Linked DNA regions of Oryzias latipes. The protein of the gene in region 1 purifies or fractionates together with the protein of each later gene. This does not show direct contact. Links are inferred from orthologs where the notes say so. Each region holds a gene or a part of one and is shown in the gene's direction. Other genes may lie near its edges. The genes, in order: epb41l3, pnn and rnps1.

Region 1 (8,051 bases):
CATCCACTCACTGAAAACCCCCAACAGAGTTTAACTTATGATTTACCCCCAGAATTTTCCTTTTGTTTCACAGAAACGAGCAAAGGGCCAAATCCTCTTTAGCAAAATTTGTGAACACCTCAACTTACTGGAGAAGGATTACTTTGGCATCACATACAGAGATATAGAGAACCAGAAGGTTGGTCGCCAAACTCCCCTCATGTTCATTTCTTTCTGGTTTTAAAAACCTGTTTACTTTGTAGTTGGCTCTCAAACGGGTGACTCTCATGTGTGCTTATCTGTGCAGAACTGGTTGGATCCCTCCAAGGAGCTGAAGAAGCAGATCCGCAGTAAGGAATCAAGTAAAACCACCAATCATGTCTTAATAATAATGAATTGGATTAATCTGCGCCTTTTCAGACGCTCAAAGCGTTTACAATATGTCCTTTATTCATTCACCCCTCGTTCATACTTGGTGATGGTAAACTACTGATGGGGCAGACTGATAAAGGCGGGAGGGTAAAGTGTCTTGCCCAAGGACACAACAACGGGGGGAGCGGGGATCGAACCGCCAACCCTCTGATACACTGCCGCCCAGAGCTTTGATGGATCTTCCTGATTTTAACACGAGTGTGTTTATGTCTTAGATGGTCCCTGGAACTTTGCTTTCAACGTCAAGTTTTACCCCCCAGACCCCTCCCAGCTCTCAGAGGACATCACACGGTCAGTCCCAGTTGAAGTTCTTTCGTTTTTTTTCAGTCTACATCTTTAGAAATCTCTTTCTATTACAAAGTGATTTTAAAGGAAATGGAAGATTTATGCGACCACAGAATATTTTTCAGACTTTTTTGACAAAACCAAATAAAGTATTAATGCCTTCGTACCTGCAACCCACAGGTACTACTTGTGCTTGCAGCTGAGGGACGATGTGGTGTCTGGCCGCCTGCCCTGCTCCTTTGCCACCCACACAGTGCTGGGCTCCTACACGGTGCAGTCCGAGCTCGGGGACTATGACCCTGAAGAAATGGCCAGTGACTACGTCAGCGAACTGCGCCTGGCACCCAACCAAACCAAAGAACTGGAAGAGAAGGTCATGGAACTCCACAAGACCTACAAGTTGGTGTCTTCACTCTCTCCGTCATTGTTTTTCAACCACTGTTTCTGCGTGACTGTTTTGTTTTCAGCCATTGTTTAGGAAATGTTTTGAAAGTTTTCACTGTTTCTAATGTCCTGTGGCAGTGTGTTCCATAACCGTGTGCCTATGATTGACACCACTGTTTGGCTAAACTTAGTCCTGCGTCTTTGAACATCACAGTCCCCTGGAGTTGGAGCCCTGAGTTCTTGTGTGGCTTGCTTATGTCGGATGTGTCTGATCAGGGGGATGACGCCAGCTGAAGCAGAGATGCACTTCCTGGAAAATGCAAAGAAGCTGTCCATGTATGGTGTGGACCTCCATCACGCTAAGGTGAGCAAATCTCTTCAGTCAACGCAAGTTATTACTGCAAGTCACTTTTCCTGCCTAAAGAAAACTAATATCACTTCAAAATGTAATAATGCAAGCTACAGTTTTCCCACCTGTTCAGAAATGTTTTGGTTTTTTTCTGCAACATTTCCTGCAGCAGAAATGGGGTTTCCAGTTCCATCAAAGGTGGTAAAAATCAAATAAATGAAATCTATTTAGAATACTTCTGCAGGTTGTGAAAATCCTCTGGCCTTTACTCAGTTTGACATTTCATTAGACACAGAATGGGACGTTTTCTCATGAATTTCTCTACATCTGAAGAATGTTGGGATGCTCTTGTTGGACCACTATGAGGAGGGACAGCTTAATGTTGTTCATGTTTAGCATTAGTTGATCTGCTTTATTGCATTGGCTGAGATGTTTTCCATGAGTTTCCGCTCCGTCCTCGCTGTGCAGCTGTTGCTGAAATGTGACGTGTGATTGGTATCGCTTGAGGATCATGTCTCCGTTCTCATGGATCGGTGTTGGCAGAACAGCTAACAGTGTTTTTTTTCATCCAAACCTCATCATTTAGTGGCTTTAGTTTGCTTGTTTCCTGAACTGTTGGAGTTTGTGTTGCAGCATCATTTCTCTAGTAGGAGGGGACACTTCCTGGAAAGAGTGTAAATATTCCTGAAGTTCATGTCTTACATTAAATAAAAAAATAATTCAGCTCTAAGTGAAAAGCCACGATTTAAAAACTGTACGTACTAAAAGTGACAGCTATGGGTTGTCTGGTAAAGGACAGTTTTCTTTTGGCTTCTCGTCGGGCTCTCCTCCTGAAAGAAGACGTGTTTTTTTTTCTTTTGATGTGGTTTAGAAAAGTGGCAGTGAGTCAAGGAACAACCAAAGTTTCTGTTGTTTCTAAGCAATCACCGCTGTGCAGAGAATCATTTGTGGTGCATCATGAGTGCGTGGAACAACTTTACAGCCAAGACCGACCTTTGTTTAGCTACGTGAAAAATTAGGCAAGAATTTAGCACATAATATAAATATTGTATTACAGTAATGAAAAATAACAATAAATCATTATAATAAAAAAGGTGTGGTTGAACAGAAATATTTCACTGTGTGATTATATAAACCCGGGGTCTCAAACTCAATTTACATTGGGGGCACTGAAGGCGGGGTCTAGCTGAGGCTGGGCCGGAACCTCAGCGTGCACACACTTGTGTCTGAGAGTCAATGCCAGTTTAAATCAGAATATTAGGCTAGCTTTGTGTTAAATGATCAATTAGGCTTAGAGTTACATCTCCTTTACCGTTTCCCTCTTCTTGAAAACATGCCTGTGGGCTTGCACATCTGGCAGCATCCTCAGTCAACGCCTTTCTTTTCTTTAATCTGGCCTTTTCCGCCCCGCCTAGTCTCTTCCTACCAAGGTTATTATAGTTAACGAAAACGAACGAAAAAACTAAAACTAGAACTGAAAAAACATTTTCGTTAACTGAAATAAAAATAAAAACGAGAGTTTTTAATAAAACGAAAACTAACTAAAACTGTTTGTTGTGTGAATAAAACGAACTGAAACTAAATAATAATAACCCCAAAAAAGACTTAGTTTTCGTCTTTGTTAATACATAAGTCTTTTGGGTTGAAATAAAATCTATTTACTTCACGCTGCTAGTTTTACTGTGTATTTGACCCCTACGGCATCACGTTGTCACGTTGTCTGTGAGGTCACATGATGTCTGTCAGACACTGCCGGCTAGCGTTGTCATAGACATTTACATGAGCGTGATGGCTGCATTAAAAGTTGGGAGAAAGGGGGAGAGTCCTATTTGGGACTTTTTTGAATATAACAGCGTCGAAAACTAAAGTAAGTGCCTTGTAGTCGAAGCAGGAGACAAAATTTGTGGAACGCTCCTCAAAGGGAAAAACCCTACGAATCTAAAAGTACATTTAAAAAGCGCACACAAAAACGCAAATCAACAGTACCTAGACAAGCTAGCCTGTCGCCCGCCCTCCCCCGAAAAAGAAGCTAGAGCAGGTAACGTAATGCTGTTATCGGCTGTTTTATTTTAATTTAAGGATGGTTGTCCTTGTGTCCTCTGAATAATAAGTGTTTCAAAATGTATCTTTGATTGAGTTTTTATTATACAATACTTATTCTGGTGATTTTGAATCATGCACCTGATAAATATCCTAATTTACAAAAAAAAAAAAAGAAAAAACTAAAACTAACACTAAAACTAATAAAAACTAAACTAAAACGAAGCAATTTCAAAAAATAAAAACTAATAAAAACTAGTAAAGCTGCCTCTAAAAACTAATTAAAACTAAATAAATTTAAAAAGAAAAATTCGAAACGAAATAAAAACTAAAACTAATAAAAAATCCGAAACTATTATAACCTTGCTTCCTACCCGTTTTTACGCGCGTTAATCTGCCGGCAGGCCCGCTTCTCTGCTCCAACTCGACTTTTTTTTTGGTAAGACGCGCTCTGGTGGATTCAACCAACTGTGAGCAATGCAAAAGGATGTTTGTGCATGCTGTTAACTGCCAAATTGGCGATGCCATTCCCTAAAGGGACGGGTCAATTTTGCAGAGATTCATTCATATTCTACTGTGACTATTTTCCCTTAACACCGACTGGCCCATAAATGAAGCGGCCCACCGGGAATCCTCCTGACTCTGCCGATTCCCCACTCCGCCCTTGAATGCAGCAGTGAAAAGATTTACAAATGAGCCTAATGGTGGAGGTTCCCATGATGCCTTATTTACTCTGCATGTTACATGAGTGACTTATGACATGAACACATTTCACCGGTGCATTCAGACGCCACGCTCGTCACCGCCGTCCCACAAACATCATGGCTGCCGTTGTGATGCTGCTGCGCTGACTCACACCGTCACCTCCACCTCTGGTTGGGGTGGTGCAGCTCTGGAGCCCAGCATGCTTTTCAGAGCTCTTTGTGTTCCACCGGCTTCAAATGCATCGTCCTAAAACCCGGACAGGAAGGACAGACGGAGCGCTGTCATCCCGGAGCGAAGTCATAATGGTCGGTCTCTGTGATGCCAACGAGTGCTTTGAAAGGCAAAACGGGTGTAAATACGTGGATGCAGGGAGGAGTTAGTCCTCAGATGTAGATCAGGATTGGTGAGATGACAGAGATGAGGAAGAGGCTTTGATCAGTCAGAACTGGCGTCACCATCAGCGCTCGGTGTAGCTCCTCTGAGTCATCATTTTTTATATCTAAGAAGCCTAAATGCACATCAGAAGAGCCTCCTTCTTTTGTCTTCTCTCCTCTCTCATTAAATGCAAAGTTGGTAGGGAGTCTCTCTGAATGCTTGGCTCTGGATGAGGAGGAGGTAAGAGGCTGTTTTCCGTGTGCTTCCACTGCCTGAGTGAGTGTTCAGAGTGTTTTTCCACTTCTGCATGGTTACAAAGGTATCCTTTCCAGCATCCCGTTCCTCGACCTGACTCCGGGTCTTGGTTCTTGGGATGAGCGCTTCCTCATTGGTTTCACTGCTCATATCATTCTTAGTTGTGCCAGAAGGTTTCCTTCTACATCCCTCGTTTTGTCAGACTTGCTTTTGCTAAAAGGTGCACCTTGAATTCATGTTCAGCGTCACCACAGAGTGCATAGAGGTGATTAGAAGACCACCTGCCTGATTGCACTGCCTGCCTGCCCAAACCTGTTATTATCACCAACCTTTTCTTAAATTCCCTCTTTATCCTGCTGGGCTCCAATGCTTGAGGACTTCCCGTTCTCCCTGTAGAGTTGAAAAATTTGAGGGTGTGTGGACAGAAACATGTTTACATGAAGGTTTTGAGCAACGCTGTGTGAGATGGTCTAGTTATGGACGTTTCCTTCTCTCCTCTCCTGGTGTGGTGTTTGCAGGACTCTGAGGGAGTGGAGATCATGCTGGGAGTTTGTGCCAGCGGCCTCCTCATCTACAGAGACAAGCTGAGGATCAACAGATTTGCCTGGCCTAAGATCCTGAAGATCTCCTACAAGAGAAATAACTTTTATATCAAAATACGACCTGGAGAGGTAAAGATAAACTATGGGAGGAGTTTGAATGAGTATCTTTAAACTTGTCTAATAATTTAAACTAGTCTAATGATTTAAATTAGTTTAACGGTTTAAACTAGTCTAATAGTTTAAATCAGTTTAATGGTTTAGACTAGTGTAATAATTTAAATTAGTTTAATGGTTTAGACTAGTGTAATAATTTAAATTAGTTTAATGGTTTAAACTAGTCTTATAATTTTAATTAGTTTAATAGTTTAAACTAGTCTTATAATTGAAATCAGTTTAATGGTTTAGACTGGTGTAATGATTTAAACTTGTTTAATGGTTTAAACTAGTCTAATGGTTTAAACTAGTCTAATGGTTTAAACTAATCTAATGGTTTAAACTAGTCTCATGGTTTAAACTAGTCTCATGATTTAAACTAGTCTAATGATTTAAACTATTCTAATGGTTTAAACTAGTCTAATGATTTAAACTAGTCTAATGATTTAAACTAGTCTAATGGTTTAAACTAGTCTAATGATTTAAACTAATCTAATGGTTTAAACTAGTCTAATGGTTTAAACTAGTGTAATGATTTAAACTAGTCTCATGATTTAAATTAGTCTAATGATTTAAACTAGTGTAATGGTTTAAACTAGTCTAATGATTTAAACTAGTCTAATGGTTTAAACTAGTCTAATGGTTTAAACTAGTCTAATGGTTCAAACTAGTGTAATGGTTTAAACTAGTCTCATGGTTTAAACTAGTCTAATGATTCAAACCAATCTAATGGTTTAAACTAGTCTAATGGTTTAAACTAGTCTAGTGGTTTAAACTAGTCTAATGGTTTAAACTAGTCTCATGATTTAAACTAGTATAATGGTTTAAACTAATCTAATGGTTTAAACTAGTCTAATGGTTTAAACTAGTATAATGGTTTAAACTAATCTAATGGTTTAAACTAGTCTCATGGTTTAAACTAGTCTAATGATTTAAACTAGTCTAATGGTTTAAACTAGTCTAATGGTTTAAACTAGTCTAATGATTTAAACTAGTCTGATGGTTTACACCAGTCTGATGATTTAAACTAGACTAATGGTTTAAACTAGTCTAATGGTTTAAACTAGTCTAATGGTTTAAACTAGTCTAATGGTTTAAATTAGTCTAATGATTTAAACTAGTCTAATGGTTTAAACTAGTCTAATGATGTTTATTTAGTTCAGACTTTTTTCCTTGTAATTGTTAAAAAAATGAGTAAAGTCTGGATTAGTTTTGTGAAAAGCAGTTGATAAATGTTCTTTATCTGACAAACATCATGGGGTTTTCAGGCTGTTCTGCATATCATTTGACAGGAACTGATCTCATTATTTTCCTATCTTGCAGTTCGAGCAGTTTGAAAGCACAATTGGCTTCAAGCTCCCAAACCACCGTGCTGCCAAACGGCTATGGAAGGTGTGTGTGGAGCACCACACCTTCTTCAGGTAGGAGTGTGACCCTTTGGAACTGCAGCAGGTGCAGCTTTATTGAAAAACATCAGGTTAAAGTCGGTCGACAGGAAAGGATGGGATGCCTTGTTAATGAAAGACGGATGGTGGGAGTGCACGCGGCTCTCTGCTGTTTTCTGGCTTTGGGTGATGACAGAAGTGCAACCATGCAGTTTATTCAGTCGCTGTGTGTGATTTCTCTGTAGGGAAGGAAAGGCAGAGTTTAGGCTCTTAATTAGAACTTCATGCAGACTTGCTGCTTTAAGCAGAACGTGGAAAGTTTACACCGAAGGCTCCCTGGAGATGGTTCTAACGAAGAGTTTCAATGTTTTTCACTGCTTGTTTTAATTCTGCTGTTATTTCCAGTTTGATTAATGGGCACATTTGAAACCGGTTACAGGCTCGTGTCTCCAGAGGCCCCTCAGAAAAAGTTCCTGAGCCTGGGCTCCAAGTTCCGTTACAGCGGCAGGACGCAGGCTCAGACCCGCAGGGCCAGCTCCCAGATCATACGACCGGCGCCGTTCTTTGAACGCACCTCCAGCAAGCGCTACAACATGTCCCGCAGCTTAGATGGAGGTGAGGCGGCCCAAGCACCTTTTAACCCCCCTCCCCCCCTTATCATAAGAAGCATGTGCACACGTGAACCGCTCTTCACATTTCTAACATACCTGCATCCTTCTGGGCTCCAGCTACCATTGCAGAGAACCACGACACTCTGATGAAGGACAGCACTGCCGGCGGAGATACCAAAGCCGCCGCCATTATCACCACGGTAACCACAGAGAGGGAAGAGAAGACGGAGCAGGAGGATGCTCAGAAGAACTCCACTGACACGCATGAGGCAGGTGCCACATCACAGGAACCAAAGGTAAGCGGCCGTCTCACCTCTGCAGCATTCAGGCGCCCACAGCGCTGTTCTCACTTTGGGAGGGGGGGCTGTCAAATAAACAGTGGGATAAAGGGGCAGTTTTGCTTTTGGAAACCTTCTTAATTTTCTTTTCTTTAAAAAATCCTTTACATGCCGCTGCTGTAGGTTAGGTCTGACTGCTTCTCATCTTGTGTACGCTTTACTAATTGCTTTTTTTCCCTTGTCCTTCCTTTGACCCCACAACACACACACACACGTGC
Region 2 (7,810 bases), on another chromosome or scaffold:
TAGGCGGGAGTTAAAGGCGAAACCGAGCCGAGCACGTGACCAGTAATCACTAGCAACAAGATGGCGGTGGTTGTGCGGAGTTTGCAAGATCAGCTCGAAAAAGCCAAAGAAAGCTTGAAAAATGTGGACGATAATATTCGAAAACTTACGGGCCGAGATCCAAACGAGTCGAGGTAAAAATGTGTACAGACTGAAATGCGTTGGTGCTATTTAAGTTTTGTGCTGTTTTTTGTGCTAAAACTCACGAGACAAACGGCGTGTCTCGTGTTGTTAGCAGGAGGCGGCTAAGCGAATTGTCACATCCTAGCAACATTAATTAAACTCTGCAAACCCCTGCTACTCCAAATGCTTGTTTCATTATGAACGAACAGATTGTCTACCTTTGAATTCTAACGATGATGTATTTGCGTAAACATACACCGTTGTTTGTTGAAGTCTGTGTTAGGCCCAACTGCCAGCAGGCCTAGTAAGTCAGTTTAATACATTTTTAAACTATGCTTTTGCAAAAATAGTTGAAACCGCCTTTCTGTTTTAGCTCGTTATGCTTTTGTTTGGGACTGTTTTGTTTCTCACGTGGTTCATCCTTTTTCAGACCGGGCCAGTTCCGTCGGCTCAGCGGCCCAATGGCAGGCCTCAGCGGAGGTAGAGGCAGAGGAATCAACCTGCTCAGGTAAGGTGACGAGATTAACTTGGTGCACTTGCAGTAAATCAAATAAAAAAAAAATAAAGAAAGAACTTTTCCTTTCACCGGTCTTTGACTCAGATGCTCTAGGTATGAGATCGAAAGTGATAGGATAAGGAAATGCCACTTGATACTTAATAATCATGTCACACCCACCAGGCTTTCATTTGAATTATGGTAATGGACTACATAAAGGGCCTATACCACATTTGTCAAACTCAAGACCCGGGGGCCAAATGTGGCCCTCCATGTCATTTTATGTGGCCCGCGAGAGCATAAAAGTTTTTAATTTCTTAAAATAAAAAATAAAAATTGGTGTATTTATTCATATCTAGGGGGAATCTGCCTTGAAATATCGGATTGGGCACCTATACATTAGGACTTAAACACTGTAAATATAACCTAACCTGACAGAATCAAATTTAAAAGGATTTATGATAGATCAAGAAAACATATGTTTTCTATGCAACTGTAATTGTCACTTTAAAAAGTTATAATAAATGAGTTCTTTATCATTAAGTAGTAGTTACATTTATTTTTTCTTACATTTAGTTACATGTAAAAGTTATTTCTGGCCCTTTGAGGACAGCCACTATCCTGATGTGGCCCTTGGTGAAAATGAGTTGGACACCCCTGGCCTATACCACGCTATTCTTACGCCTTATCTAGTGTACATATACATGATGTATTCCCTTTGGGACACAAAAGAACATTTTATTTTAATTAAATATTAGTTATTTTTCTGAGCTTTTTTTTTCCAAACCGGAAGTAAGACGACTCAATCTCTAAGGCGTGGCCTTTTGCTCCGTGTGGGTGCCACCCATTGAATGTCGTCAACCCAGAGCCAGCCTCGGCAGTGTGTCTGCGTTTTGCTAAGGAAAACGAACAACCTCCAGCCTTTTGTAACGATGAATGTGCGTATAAAAGGAAAGCATTTTAGCCGATTACTGCTAGCTCTGCAGATAATTACTATCCGGTCGTACAAAACCGTACAGTTTTGGGCCAGATGCCAGCTCGGATGAGAAAAACAAAGGCTTACATAGATCTGGGTGTTATAAGGTCCCCCCCCCCCTAGGGAGAAGTTATTTTTTGATTGCCAATATGTTCTTTCAGGCGCAGTCTCTCGGACATGGGAACTGGCGGCCCCCCTGCCAAGCAAAGGGACATCGAAGGAGCCTTGCTGAGGTGACTTGTTTTTTTGTTTTGTTTTTTCCTGCTAGAAATAAGGATTTCTAGCTATTTCAGTAGGGACGTCCTGGTCATGTTTTCTTGTGCCCTATCTGGCCCACAGTCAATTGATTTCCAATATCTGCTGACCCCCCCCCCCCCCTATTTTTTCTTTTATTGGACTTTTATCATTTAATACTTAAACAGATACTTATACTTACACAGAGAAAATTTGAGTTAAGTTTTAGTGACTTGAGAACTATTGAACATTTTTGAACAGCCGTGATTCATATGCCCATTAAAATTTCACATTAATGATTTTCTTTAAAAAATTGCTGTTCTTGGCATAAATATGAGTATTCGCGAGTAGCTCAAACACTATACTACCAAGAGTATTCGCTCACCCATCCAAGTGATTAGAATCAGGTGTCCTAAACACTTGGACTGGCCACAGGTGTTTAAAATGTTGAAGTCATTGATCCCAGACGACTGACTCCGTACATCTTTCTAGCTTTGTGCACCTCTTACTCAAACTAGCACCGCAATAAATTGTTGCGATCTGTTCATAATATGCAGACTCCTAGTAGAGTATTTGTCTGTAATAGTGAGCTTGAAATGTAAAGTGCTGATCAAAATAAAAATAAATTAAATATTTGATACTTCTAGGAGACATTCGATTTTCCAATTTTTCAATTGAGTAATCAACCATGTGACCGGGCCGATTTCTAGTCAGGTGATTGGATCGGGAAATCGCTGTATTTCAGGGTTTTCTTTTGTTTTTTTCTTTTTCTTTCTTTTTTATAGAATCTAATAAAGCTGTTTGCACTGATTACCTCTTTGTTGTCATGGCTGTGCGAGTTTAGGCTGGCAGGAGACCAGAGGGCCAGGAGAGACATGCGCCACGACAGCGACGATGACGATGATGTCAAAAAGGTAAAATGATCTGGGTTCATTCAGTATCTCACTATGGGCCACACCCCTCTGTTCGCTGTCTTCAGAAGCTTTATCACATTACGCCAGTCCTGGCTGGCAGACGGAAAGTGGCGTCCACTCTAGAAGGATGGATAAATAAGAGTGGGTCTCTTCTCACTCCCAGAACCATACTCTCTGAGAGCTCTTGAGGGCGAGTTAATCAATCGGTCCAAAAAGGGCAAGCAGAGCCCAAACCCTGCCCTCACCATGGACACAGTCAGGCTGCTGTCGAGAGCGTGAGCGTGTGGGAACAAGATTTCTGGAGCAGGCACCCACTCTGCTTTTGTTTTGTGTTTGCTGCTACATGCCCAGGATGCATTCACTTCTCTGGTCCCCCTTGTGAATACTGCACACGGCTCACTACACTTCACACGGGTGTCAGCTGAGGTGACCAGCTAGAGCAGTGATTCTTGACCATGGGGCCCAATCTTGGTCTGTGAGCGCCAACTAGTGGGCCGTGAAAAAAATCCTCTGCACAAGGGAAATCCTCCCACGAAGCAACTATGTCATGTTGGATATGGAGGCTATTATCTTTGTTTGTGACGGGATTGGAACCCCTGGCTAGTATACTGACTCATTCCACACGTGGAACGGCCTCTTCTTGAGCCCTGTTTAGGGGAATTTGGGTGGGTGACATGCAAGGTTGATGCCAGTTGTGTATTACCCCATTCTTTCACCGGATCCTATGAATAGGATGTGACCACACAGACTCTCATGCAATATTAGGTTTGGCTTTTGCGTGTGAAATATCTGGGTGCTTCTTAGTCTTCAAGTAAGCCTGTCTGACAATATATCCTTTAGTTAGATACCGAATGAATATTGAAAAAATTTTGAGAACCCTGGTTCTCTGAAGCATGAGTGAGGTTACCTTCTTGCCTTGAGCAACAAGAGGTTAGCGTTTTTAGACTGAGGAAAGGGTGACGTCCCGCTTATATTTTGTAAAGAATCCAACATATTTTATTTTTATCGTGTTTGTTTATCATGTTATTGGAGCCAAGGTGGTTTGATGCATATTCGCATCAATAGGTGTAATGGGGTTAATTACACGAGGAAAATAAAATCATAACCAGTTTTGATTCCAAAACCGGTTTTCAAAAATGAACTCTTGGACTTTTGGGTAACGAATACTAAAACATGACTAAAACAGGATTTGCTTGTTTTCTTCAGCCAGCGTTGCAGTCCTCTGTTGTAGCTACCTCCAAAGAGAGAACACGCCGAGATCTTATTCAAGATCAAACCATGGATGAGAAGGGCAAACAGAGGTAGGCTGACATGAATCTGTTTCAGACAGTAGCTGCGTTTACATGGACAAAAGTAATCGGATAGAACGCCTGATCAGAAGAAAAATGTGTTCGGAATACTCTGCCCTGATCAGACTCGTTCGGATCAAAATTTATTTCCGATCGAGATCGGTGGGTTATGCCGACTGTTGATCCAATCGTTGTGAATGTAAAAGGTTCATTCAGATCGTTGGTCAGTATTGCTCTGGTTTTACATAGTACATAAAAGGTGTTTCCCTCCAAAGACTGCTTTGAAACGCAAACAGGACCGACCGACCGGCTGCTCTGCGGATGCCCGATACACGCACGGACGCCTCTGCTCTCCGCCCTTGCCCGCGGGCTCCTCGCTTCTGACTTCCCTCCATCTCGAGGAGCGCTTCGTGCCCCTGGACCCTGCGCCGTCCGGGCTTGGCTGCTGGTGGACCAAGTGAACCGTGTCTCTGAGCAGAGCAGCCGGACTTATAGCTTTGTGTTTGAGGGGAAAGGAGGATGCTTTGTTACGTGTGCGCTTTATGTGTGGGACACTACGGACTGCGATCCGTCCCGCAGCTGTAGGTAAACGAGCTGCTAAACTCAGAACTGTGTCTCCCGGTAATACTGTGTCTCTGAGCAGAGCTCGGGCCGCCAGCTCACAGCGGCTTTGGAGCGGCGTGCGACCATTTCAAAGTAGAAATGTCGCCCAGTCCTTAGAAACTGTTCAAACAATCACGTGGATTTGTTTTTCCAGTCGTGTCCCGACAAAATAAAGGCTGATTGATGTTATTCCCACATATTTACGTGCAGCCAAGATGCAGATTGCAGCATTTCCCTGGATTTTATGTTCATCCAAGGCTAATGTTGTTGGCGCGTGTTAGCCTTCTCCTAACCCTTCTTCCAGCTCTTCCGCCACAAAAAAGGCACCGACCACACGTATTAAAAATGAAAGGATGAGCGAACAGGTGCTTCATAATAACTATAATAATAATAAAAGCACGTTTAGAAGATCATCTCTTATATTACCGAGCATATCCATATATGTATGTGGCAGCTCGGCTTGTTAACAGCGGGACTCCTTTCCTCTTCCGGTATTTTAGAGAGAAGTGCAAATGATCTGTTCCGACAGAAAGTGTGCCCCATGTATACGATGTTATAATCGGAAAAAGGTTTTCTGGGACCATGTACAGGGTTGAAATCTGATCTGTGATTTGATCAAAACATTTTCCACATGTAACCACGGCTACTGATAGAAAAGCTTGGATATGAATTTCACAAAATACAAAATTATGATATTGCTTCACAAAGGTTTTAAACTAGTTGGAATTTCCTCCCATATTTTGTTTCAGAAATCGGCGCATGTTTGGTCTGCTGATGGGTACGCTGCAAAAATTTAAGCAGGAGTCCAACGTATCTTCAGAAAAGGTGAGTTGCAGGTTTGTAAAGCATCTCACACACACAAAATCCAGGCTCATTCTGTTCCGCTTCTTCCAGCAAAAACGCCGTTCTGAGATTGAGCAGAAACTGGAAGTTCAGGCTGAAGCTGAGAAGAAGAAAGTAGAGAATGAAAGGAGAGAGCTGTTTGAGGAGAGAAGAGCCAAGCAGACAGAGCTGAGACTTCTGGAACAAAAAGTGGAATTAGCTCAGCTGGTAAGGCTAATTTATAAGAAGTAAAATGTGTTTTAAAGACAAGAGATGCTTTTCCATCTTTCAAAGTTTTTACAATTGGTTATACAGTATTGTAGAGTCTATAAAAGTTATGGCTAACGGCATGAATGCATCAGAACATTGAGACAAGAGCAAAATTAAAGACAACAATAACCATAACGAAGATAAAAAGCATCAACACAAACATTAGTCTTTTTTTATTTATTTGATATCTATTGATTTATAATTTTTATTTGATAATGTCGAAGCAATTCTTGTGAAATTTCTCTTGAACAAGTTTTGAGTCTGATTACATCCAAGCGAACCCCGGGACTGGTACCAGGAACCGCACCCTTACCCACCTTTCAAGGTGGTCTCGGTTTGTTTCCAATCGGACTGGGCTTCGGTTTGCTGTGAGATTCCTCAGTCTAAATACAATCTGTCCTTGGAGTGGAACAACTGGACCAAAAGGCCACCGTAGCCTGTGGTCACGTCATGTAAACACATTTAGAATGTAGCAACAGATGCGCCGCGGACAAATGTGGAGCAACGATTGTCGCATTATCAAAGAGGGAAAAAAGGATCCAACTCCTTGTTAGGTTTATTTGAACACAGCTAAAAATGTGTTTTACACTCTTTTCTGTGTCTCGTTACACGGCATGAGCTAATGTGACGACATCCTTTTCCTCAAAACGATGCCATTGACACCATAGACACTGCAATTCATTAAAATGTGATCAGATGAATGCAGGTTTAAGTTAATTTTTTAACATAATACACATTGCTTCTCATCGTTTTCCCTACAATCTGTGTCAAACATTTATCAGTGTAGCTTCTTAGACGTCTTCTACTGCATTGCAGTATGCCTCCACCAGATCAAAGCAGCAGTATAAAGTGTTGTCTGTTGAAACAGGCATTTAAAATTGTTCAGCAAAATATAAAGTTTGAATGAAGGACTGCAGTATAGTTGACTTGCTCCGCCTTCCTAAATCCTGACCAGTGAGTGAAGAGATTTTATTCACATGGTTTTGTTTACTAGCTTTGGTTGGAATCAGGAAAGGCCGCTTGACGGCAGTCTGAATACAGAGCAAACGCAAGGTTGAGTGCTCGATCCGGACCACATGATGCGGACTGGGTCTGGAACAAACTGTTTCCTAGTCTGAATACACTAAGTTGCAACTGAGGCCAAACTGCTAAAAAACGCGACTTGTACTCTGACAAGTACAGTAGTTGTTTATGTGACAGATTTTTTTATATACTGGTTATAAAGACTTTTTTTTTTTTGTTACTCCACTAGCAGGTACTTGCTTGTTCTTAGTTTTTAGTAAAATATAAAAAACACAGATGATTATAAATGTCTATCCCATCTTCTCCAAATACCAGCAAGAGGAGTGGACCAGCCACAACAACAACCTGTTGAAATTCATTCGCACAAAGACCAAGCCTCACATCTTCTACCTTCCTGGAAAAATGTGCTCCGCATCACAGAAACTCCTCGAAGAGTCCACCAAGAAACTAAATGGTCAGTCTGGTCTTTTTTTTTTAAAGAAAGAAGCTTTTTTTTTTTAAATTTACAGAATGAGATTATTTATTTGAAGAAGGCAAATAACGTGACCTTTTTCCTGTTTGGCTTTACCGTTTTCTCCACAGCTGTGTTTGAGGAAAGGCGTGAAGCTTTTGCTGAGCAACTCAACAAGATGGAGTCACGTCCCCGGCGCCAGATAAACCGCGACCAGGACACCAACACTGCCGCAAGGATGGACCATCCGGCGGAGGGTAAGCCAGCAGGTCAGGCAGCCAAGTTGACAGGTAAAAGGAGTGTCGCAGAGATGGAGGAGGAGGAAGATGAGGATGAGGAAGGTCAGAGGGAAGGAGATAGAATTGTGATAGAAGGGGATAATGGGGAGGGAAACAAGGAAATATTAGAAAAAGTAGAAGAGGAGGAAGGGATGGAGTTTAGAGAGGAAGGAAGTGAGAAAAAAGAAGCTGAGGAGGAGAGGAAGAAAGAGGAGAAGCAAGCAAGCCCAAAGTCAGAGGAAATGGAGGTGGAAATAGAAGCAGAGAAGGAAGAGGAGATGAAGGAAGTCAA
Region 3 (8,071 bases), on another chromosome or scaffold:
CCTCTACTGTGTTTCCAGCATGAGGAACTCTTTTCTCTTCTTGCTGGGCAAGAGAAGTGACACTTACAATCTGAATGTCGTTTTCTTCTTTATTTTCCCCGTGCTGCTGCTGCTCTAGTCGGCTGCTTCCGCTGCTCTCCACAGAACTCGATGCATTTCCACTTGTTTCGGAATTTGTGGAGGACTGCTTGGGGAAACCTGAAGCAGTTGCAAATCCTGAATGATGAGGAGGCTCGTGCATTCGATTCTGGAGACGGTTATTGCTCCAGCTCTCATGCAAAGCTCCAGATCTAGGTGTAGCCTGAGCAACCAAAGGGCTCCCCCCAGCTTCTGCAGGTCTGACCCTCCCTGGTGGTCTACCCTGAAACTCCCTCAGGTAGAGGTATATGGCTTGTGCTGAAACTTTGATGTTCTCCAGCTCCAGTACAGCTTTGATCTTACGGAAACTAAGTCCAGCCTTCCGAAGCTCCACGACTTTGTATTTTGCTGCATCATCCAGCCGACCCATGGTCTGCAACGGAATGATCTCTAGAGGATTAAAAACACTGTCATAAATGTTCAGTAGTTTTCAACCTTTTCTAAACAGTTTTCTCAAAATTCTGTCCATTTCATATGTACTAACCTTGTAATATCATACATTTACTTTGAAAATTGTAAAACCTGCTTTCCTTTTTGTTTTATTTCGTTAATTTTTATTACTGAGTTTATTCTTGATTAATTTATTCCCTTGTTTTTACAATAATACATTTCACTACTTAACTCTATCTTGAAATATTTGATAAACTAACGTGAGGTGTTTACTCTGTTAACGATAATCATAAAATATCAAAATTGAATCGTTGTTTATTCAGGCTGTTTGTTTTGATTTAGTATCAATAAAGTTTACTTTAAAACCTAAGTGTCTCATTGCTTAAGTTAAGTTACACGTAAAAAACGTGGCCATAACGCATAAATAAGGATTGCATCATTAAATAGACGATATATGGATATAAACAGTTAATATCACAGTTGTTCTTGAAATGATAGGTAACTGCAATGTTTTCACACCTGTTTCTAACGGTTGAGTTATAACATTAGCTTAGATACTAGAGCTAACAACCTCCGCTGTTGTAAAGTGGGACGCTCACCTGAAGAAACGAAGGAAGCAATGTCCGTGCTTCGAATTCGAGCAGCGTAATTCACGCACCACAGTAACTAGGTCCCCTTTGCATAGCTATGCAGCAGCCGAATACGCAAGCTGCTAACGTCCATAACACCTTAAAAAAACAAATGAAGTTGTGAGTGGCACCCGTTTACAAACGTAACTTCCGCTTTCGTCATAATCTAGCGACGAACTGAATCACACTGGTAAGAAATGAGAATTAACTTATAATTATGGTTCAGTTTTACTTCAACAAATATAATTAAGCTGATGTTGCAGGTTTGGATGGTTAAGGACACCAACAAATTGAATGTGCAGGGGGGAAAAGAAATACATCACACAAGAGTCTGCATGAAAGTTCAAACCTTTGCAAAGGGGATTTTGAGTGGCTTTATATTCTGTAACTGTGGTGTCAACAAACAAACAAACAAACAAACAAACAAACAAACAAACAAACAAGTTGTCTGTGACAAAGAAAACATTGTCAAAATGACTATAAAATTCTGCTTTTGACAGACACTTCTTTCCTGGGCACTTGTTTATAAACACCCCTCACTTATAATTTATTTATTTGGACTAAGAAATACATCATTTACTAAAACAAATATATATTTTTTGTCATAATAATTTCAACAATAATATGGGTCAGTTCCTTGACAGAAAAGGACATTTGTTTAGAACTGAGGAGTTTAATCTAACATATAGTAATACATATTTTTATGGACTCGAAGTCTAAATGTCAACACCATAAAATAAAGAAGATGAAAAGAGAAAATCAGTTACACCCCTGTTGGAAAATCTTGTTTCAAATTTACTCAGGAGAATAACAAAGTCATATGTGCCTTGTTTCAACGAGATGTTATTTCAGAACATTTTGTTGTCTTTTAGTGAAATACTTTTGTCTCTGACTTGCTATGGAAAGAACTTTCATTGCATCAGAAATAGTTGATTAATGACAAGATGAGCGATATCTCCTCTCAATTTCTGCACAGAATAATACTAGTCAAGATATTTAACATTGTAAAATATATTAAAGTTTGTTAACATTCTGTGAAAGAAAACCCAAAAACTCAGTCACCTACTTTGGAATTGTAATATTTATTAAAAATCTTTTGATTAGACTGTACATATTTAAAAAATTGCAACAATAACTCAAAATGCGATGCTCCAGTGCTGTGACTATATGTAAGGTCTGCATGGATTTGTATTATAACTTTTTCATTCATCCACACTTGTGTCGTGTATGTTTACAAAAAAAGTTGGCAAGAAAAAAAAAACAACAACGATATATATATATATATATATATATATATATATATATATATCGTTTTAAGATCTGAATTTACTAAATATTAAATTTTTCCAAAATACAAAGAAATCCATTTTAAAATAATGTATGCAGTCTATCCATACAAGGAACTACTATACATATACGTTTTGGTTTTCCAGAAAATAACTGTTCTTTCTGTGACATAAATATAGAAACACTTGATCATCTGTTTTTTTGAATGTATATATGTTAACAGTTTTTGGGAGAATTTCTTTTCTTGTTGCTCCTCAAAGTTTCCCTTTCCTATTTATATTCAATTACAAAAGCAGATCATATTATTTGGAGTAGTTTCTGTTGATAATATATTTGATTTGACATTCAATACTTTATTAATATCTGGGAAATTTTTCATTGATGAGAGCAGATTTTCAAAAACAAAACCATTATTCAATACATTTCATATTGAGATCAGTTTATATTAAAAATCTCTGATATTAATAAAAAGCAAAAATGCAATAAAATGTCTATTTTCATTGAAGATCACGCGTTGTATGAAAATCCCTTGTATTGTAAACTACAATTATATTATTTTTATTTATTTATTTATTTCTATTTTCTTCTTTTTTCTTTTTTTCTGTTGTAGCTTTTGTGTGTGCGTTTGTTTAAAGTTAAAATAAAAAATTACGTAACATCCGCTTTCATCATCACTTCGCGACCTCACACCAGACCGCAAGTGAAGCCATTTTTGGCCGTTGGAATGTAAGATTAACCTTTTTACGTATTTTCGATCTAAATAGCTTTAATAGCGGAACTTGTTGATTTAAACATGTAAGTTCGGAGGCTTTTTTATTTTGCGCGAAAGTTCCTTATAAAGGAAGAAGTCGTTTAACCGCGACGCGGGTGTAGTTTAGTCCCTTGTTGTGCTCAAAAAAAACAACGAGGGAACGAGTCCAAATAGAAGGTTTTTTTTTTTCTGAATGAAAATATTAGTGTAAGGGAAAATATTATGTAATTTACGGTCCTAAACATTTGGAATTAAGCTTAAAATAATTACAATTTATTGTGCACATGTTAAATGTCGGTAAAAAAAAAAAAAACACCGAAACAATTTTGAATTAATTAGATAAAAATGAAATGAAAAAGTTATATATATTCAAGTAATTAACGAGTTAAATTTAATTAATGACCTTTTTGGTGCAAAAAATTTGTATCTAGCACATTTTAAGGCTGTTTCTCTCTATCCAATAAAAACATAAATCACAATCCTTTACATAAACCTAGACATAATCACTTTTTTAGGTTTCTAGGTCTCTAATTTATGTGCTTTCTCGCCACATCAGGGCACCATTACCGATAAAGCGAAAGGAAGATGAAAAGAAAAACAGGGAAAAAGAAAAAATAAAGGAAGGAGACAAGGAAAGGGGTCGCGACAAAGCAAAGAAACGCCGCAGTGCTTCATCAGGCAGCAGCAGCAGGTGAGCTATTTTTTCTTTCTTATATTTAAAAATATAATATAGCATCCTGTCCTGGATGTTCATTCCCAACTAAATCATTGTTTGTTTTTGACCTTCCACATCTAGATCTAGCTCATCCTCCAGCAGCAGCTCTGGTTCTAGCTCTGGTTCTTCAAGTGGTTCCAGCTCCTCTTCCAGTCGCTCCGGATCCTCTAGCTCTCGGTCTTCCTCCTCCTCCAGCTCTTCGGCCTCTCCAAGTCCCAGCCGCAGACGCCATGACAACCGACGCCGTTCACGATCTCCGTCAGTCCATTTTCTCAGACATGAGACAAATATTTATATTGTATCTCAAAAATATTGACAATATTTATTCTGTAATTTTTTATCCTGCAGTTCTAAAACACAGAAGAGAGGAGAAGAAAGAGAACGAAGAAAAAGAAGTCCCACCCCTAAACCCACAAAGGTTCACTTGGGAAGGCTGACCAGGAATGTAACCAAGGCAAGCTAAAAAAACAAACAAAAGCTAAATCTTTGATTTTTAAAAAAAAAATTCTAATTCAATAAAAGCAGATCTTATTTTTCATGATAACTAGTTAGAATGAAATATTCTTTATGTTTATTGTCTGTCAAGATGTGCGCCTAAAACTGCAAGAATTAAATAAAAAGCTAAATATTTTGTTTTTAGTTTTTTTTAATGGAACAATCCTTCACAAAATAATGGTTAAAAACTAAATGTATGTTTCAATTTACTAGGAACACATCCAGGAGATTTTCTCTACATATGGAAAAATTAAAGCGGTTGACATGCCGGTGGAAAGGCTCTTCCCAAACCTGACCAAAGGCTTTGCTTACGTGGAGTTTGAGACCCCTGAAGAAGCCCAGAAAGCTCTTAAACACATGGATGGAGGTAGGAAAGAATCATTTAAGGGGCTGGAGAAATCATATTGACGAACATAAACTTGGTCAGGTAAAAACAAACCTTCCTGATGACTTTTTTAGGTCAGATTGACGGGCAGGAAATCACTGCAGCTGCTGTGCTGACTCAGCTGATCCGTGGTCCTCCACGTAGACTGTCTCCTCCTCGAAGAATGCCGCCACCTCCACCGATGTGGCGCCGCAGCCCACCACGCATGAGAAGAAGGTTATTTAAAAGCTTTCACTTGTACCTTTTTAATATTTTTAACGTTTTATTATGCGGTCCATTGAAACGGAATCTTCTCCCACCTACTGATGCTCGTCCTTTTTTTGTGCCTGTTTAGATCACGCTCCCCAAGGAGGCGCTCGCCACCACGTCGCCGCTCTCGCTCTAGGTCTCCTGGCCGCAGGCGCCATCGCTCTCGTTCAAGCTCAAATTCCTCCAGATAGAAAGTTGTCTTTACTCTAAATACTCGCCGCAGATCAGCTGCAGTTTTCGCATTTCCTGGCTCCTCGGACACAAAGGATCTATATAAATTGCAGTAAATTTAGCTGAGTTCGTAGTGACAAGGAGACGAGAAAAATTCTTTCTTTTTTTTTAAATTTTGTGCTGAAAATTGACTGTAGTTTTTATGTTATGTCTGATGACATCTAACAAGATTTTGTGATTCCTTCATTCGAGTTGATTTTTTTTTTTGAAGAATTTTGAGAATAAAACCTATGAAACATCTTGATTCTGATTTCTGTCATCTTGTGATCCGGCTCAACTATTATTCTGATTTCTAGTCACAAAAATACTTTTAACCCTTATGTGGTGTTCGGGTCTGTGGGACCCGTTTTCATTTTTTATCAAAAGAAAAATGATACAATTAATTAATTTTTCAAACTCAGACTCACTGGCCTTGGCTCATTTTCTGTGAAGAACAGATATCAGAATACATTTTTAATGACCACACACCGTATACCCCCCCCAACACATTTCTATTACATATAAGATGTTCGGGTCCACTGGACCCAGGGCTAATAGAAGTGTGGAAATTGATGTTTTTATGTACCTACACTCTGTCCTCCACCTGTCTGGGCCTGCTGTGTGTGTGTGTGTGTGGGTGTGTGTGTGTGTGTGTGACCAGTGAGAAAGAGAGAGAGAGAGTGGCAGAGAGAGAAAGATTCACTGTAAATGTGAGTTCTGTTTCTGCACCTGCGGTTCCCGCACAAGGTTGCAACATTGTTAGAATAATTCAAGCATCAACTCTGTTTGCTCTCGTTCTCCCGCACATTTGATCATTTGACTTTCTTGCGGGAATCTTTAATATCTCACATAGCAGATAAAGATCTGCTACAAATTGGAGGCGGGACACTATAAATATAGCTTTGCCAGTGTGGTTTCTCATCACAACTGATCAAAATGGCCAAAAGACTTTCTGCGCAGAGGGCCCTGGAATTGATTTTAGAAGAGAGAGACGTTTTCGATGATGATGTAGAGGGAGACGATTCAGAAGAGGAGGTTTCAGAATTGGAGGATCACATTTCTGAAAATTCAGAGTCTGACAGTGACTCTGGAGAAGATGATTAGATTGGGGCGGCCGTGGTGCAGCGGTAGGGTGGCCAACCCCTGATCGTAAGATTGCAGGTTCAATTCCCGCCTTGCAGGCCCATGAGTCAAAGTGTCCTTGGGCAAGACACTGAACCCCACCTTGCCTCTGGTGGTTGGCGGGCGCCTGTGTTTGGCGGAGCCGCCACCAGTGTCTGAATGTGTGAGTGAATGTGTGTGTGACTGGGTGAATGGGTCCGTGACTGTAAAGCGCTTTGTCCTTGTAGGAAGAAAGGCGCTATATAAGTATAAGCCATACCATTTAGATTGAGCATCAGCCAGTTCCAAAACAAAGCCATCAGCCAGGACCAGGCTGTCAGCAGCCAGGACCATGTGTTGTAAAGGCTAGTGGCTAGAAGCCCTTACATGGGGCTGATGTGTTGTCTTGACAATAGGTTTACTCTGTGTTCAGCTTGTGTTGTGCACCTGAATGGTTTCAGTTTCTTTGTTCAAATAAATAAAAGTTAGTAGTTTTGAAAACCATTGCTTCACTTGAAAATTTGTTTCCAATCATATCTTGATTTTAATTGATTTTCTTTATCACGTTTTAAATAATGAGTTATGAATGTGATCTAACAAAGGTAAAGGGCAAATATTAACCAAATAAACTGATTGTAATTGGATGAGGTAAACATCTGTCGAGTATTTTAACATCAAAGTGTTTGATTGTGAGGCATTAAAAACCACAACATGCAACGGGTCCACCAGACCCACGAACACTGGCTGAGTAACAACAATATGAACACCACACAAGGGTCAAGTATTCCAAAATATTAACTAAACTTATAAAACAAAGATAAAAATGTGTTGGGAAGTTGTGCCCTTTATTTACCATAACAACCACTAGGTGTCTCATTCCATGTAGGGGCAGAGGATTGCATGTGTATTTCTTTGGAGCATCAACAGCAGAGCATGCATCAGTGGTTAGCCTCCCCACAGTTACAATGACAGTGCTGTGGTAGCTGTTTCAACGCGCGCTCTGTGATCTCCGTCTTCTTGTTCATAAGAACCTTTGGAGTCTAATCGAAATCTAAATCATGGCTTTGGGACCAGAAAGTCTCAGACGGCGAATCAAGCAGCTGTTGGAAAAACCGGGGAATGGAAACTGTGCAGACTGCAAAGCAGCAGGTAGGTGCAGGTCCTGCTTTTATTTACATCCTCTTCATGTTAGTTTGACAGTACGCCTGGTAAGTTTTGTTTCACTTTAGGAGAAAACAATAGAAGTTAATTTATGAATGTTTTCTGACAAAAAGTAGGAAATGTTTGTTAGAAATGGCATAAAGTTAAAAATAATAATATAAAAACACAAGTTTGATCTTGACCATCAGACAAAAACTTGCTAGATTTGGATTGATGGCTATCAACTGACTGATCTCCTTTCATTGAGGTGCGCTTTGACAGAGAAGTAAAGTGCTTGTTCTGGATTTCTTTTTTGCCCTATTTTGTGCAGATGCATCAAGTCTTCCTTCTCATTTACTGCTTTTAAAACAGCCTGACCCCACCCTTGTGTTCCGTTTAAAATGACCCACATCTATTCTTTTTTTAAAGATTAATTGCACGTAGGCTTATTTACACGTTATGTGCAACACTTCTGCTCTGGAGTAAGGTGTGACCTGCTTCCTGTATTTTTTTTTCCTGTGTGCTGTTTTTTTATTGTCGATGTTCAAATATACATGCCAGGAAGATATACAAGAAGTAGC

The links.
Region 2: the proteins of epb41l3 (region 1) and pnn purify together in Homo sapiens (co-immunoprecipitation; 3 studies listed by BioGRID and IntAct, with this or other methods). This does not show direct contact. The link is inferred for Oryzias latipes from reciprocal best matches to the Homo sapiens genes EPB41L3 and PNN.
Region 3: the proteins of epb41l3 (region 1) and rnps1 purify together in Homo sapiens (co-immunoprecipitation; 3 studies listed by BioGRID and IntAct, with this or other methods). This does not show direct contact. The link is inferred for Oryzias latipes from reciprocal best matches to the Homo sapiens genes EPB41L3 and RNPS1.

Annotation. Positions count from the first base shown.
Region 1 is NC_019875.2:4,932,802-4,940,852, reverse strand, and holds part of epb41l3 (band 4.1-like protein 3), read left to right. Parts: intron 1-73; coding exon 74-178; intron 179-286; coding exon 287-329; coding exon of another isoform or gene 330-341; intron 342-626; coding exon 627-702; intron 703-876; coding exon 877-1,095; intron 1,096-1,356; coding exon 1,357-1,444; intron 1,445-4,744; coding exon 4,745-4,789; intron 4,790-5,322; coding exon 5,323-5,475; intron 5,476-6,822; coding exon 6,823-6,920; intron 6,921-7,323; coding exon 7,324-7,499; intron 7,500-7,612; coding exon 7,613-7,791; intron 7,792-8,051. UniProt on the Homo sapiens protein: Tumor suppressor that inhibits cell proliferation and promotes apoptosis. Modulates the activity of protein arginine N-methyltransferases, including PRMT3 and PRMT5.
Region 2 is NC_019880.2:19,631,373-19,639,182, forward strand, and holds the start of pnn (pinin), read left to right. Parts: upstream 1-26; 5' UTR 27-60; coding exon 61-173; intron 174-592; coding exon 593-670; intron 671-1,795; coding exon 1,796-1,867; intron 1,868-2,712; coding exon 2,713-2,782; intron 2,783-3,988; coding exon 3,989-4,083; intron 4,084-5,423; coding exon 5,424-5,499; intron 5,500-5,568; coding exon 5,569-5,724; intron 5,725-7,104; coding exon 7,105-7,243; intron 7,244-7,371; coding exon 7,372-7,810. UniProt on the Homo sapiens protein: Transcriptional activator binding to the E-box 1 core sequence of the E-cadherin promoter gene; the core-binding sequence is 5'CAGGTG-3'. Capable of reversing CTBP1-mediated transcription repression.
Region 3 is NC_019866.2:11,022,314-11,030,384, reverse strand, and holds rnps1 (RNA-binding protein with serine-rich domain 1), read left to right. Parts: upstream 1-3,076; 5' UTR 3,077-3,168; coding exon 3,169-3,170; exon of another isoform or gene 3,171-3,237; coding exon of another isoform or gene 3,238-3,239; intron 3,240-3,751; coding exon 3,752-3,886; intron 3,887-3,991; coding exon 3,992-4,168; intron 4,169-4,258; coding exon 4,259-4,364; intron 4,365-4,618; coding exon 4,619-4,772; intron 4,773-4,864; coding exon 4,865-5,006; intron 5,007-5,124; coding exon 5,125-5,230; 3' UTR 5,231-5,514; downstream 5,515-8,071. Other genes in the region: uncharacterized protein LOC101174749, read right to left, coding at 1-508; arf-GAP with dual PH domain-containing protein 1, read left to right, coding at 7,409-7,499. UniProt on the Homo sapiens protein: Part of pre- and post-splicing multiprotein mRNP complexes. Auxiliary component of the splicing-dependent multiprotein exon junction complex (EJC) deposited at splice junction on mRNAs.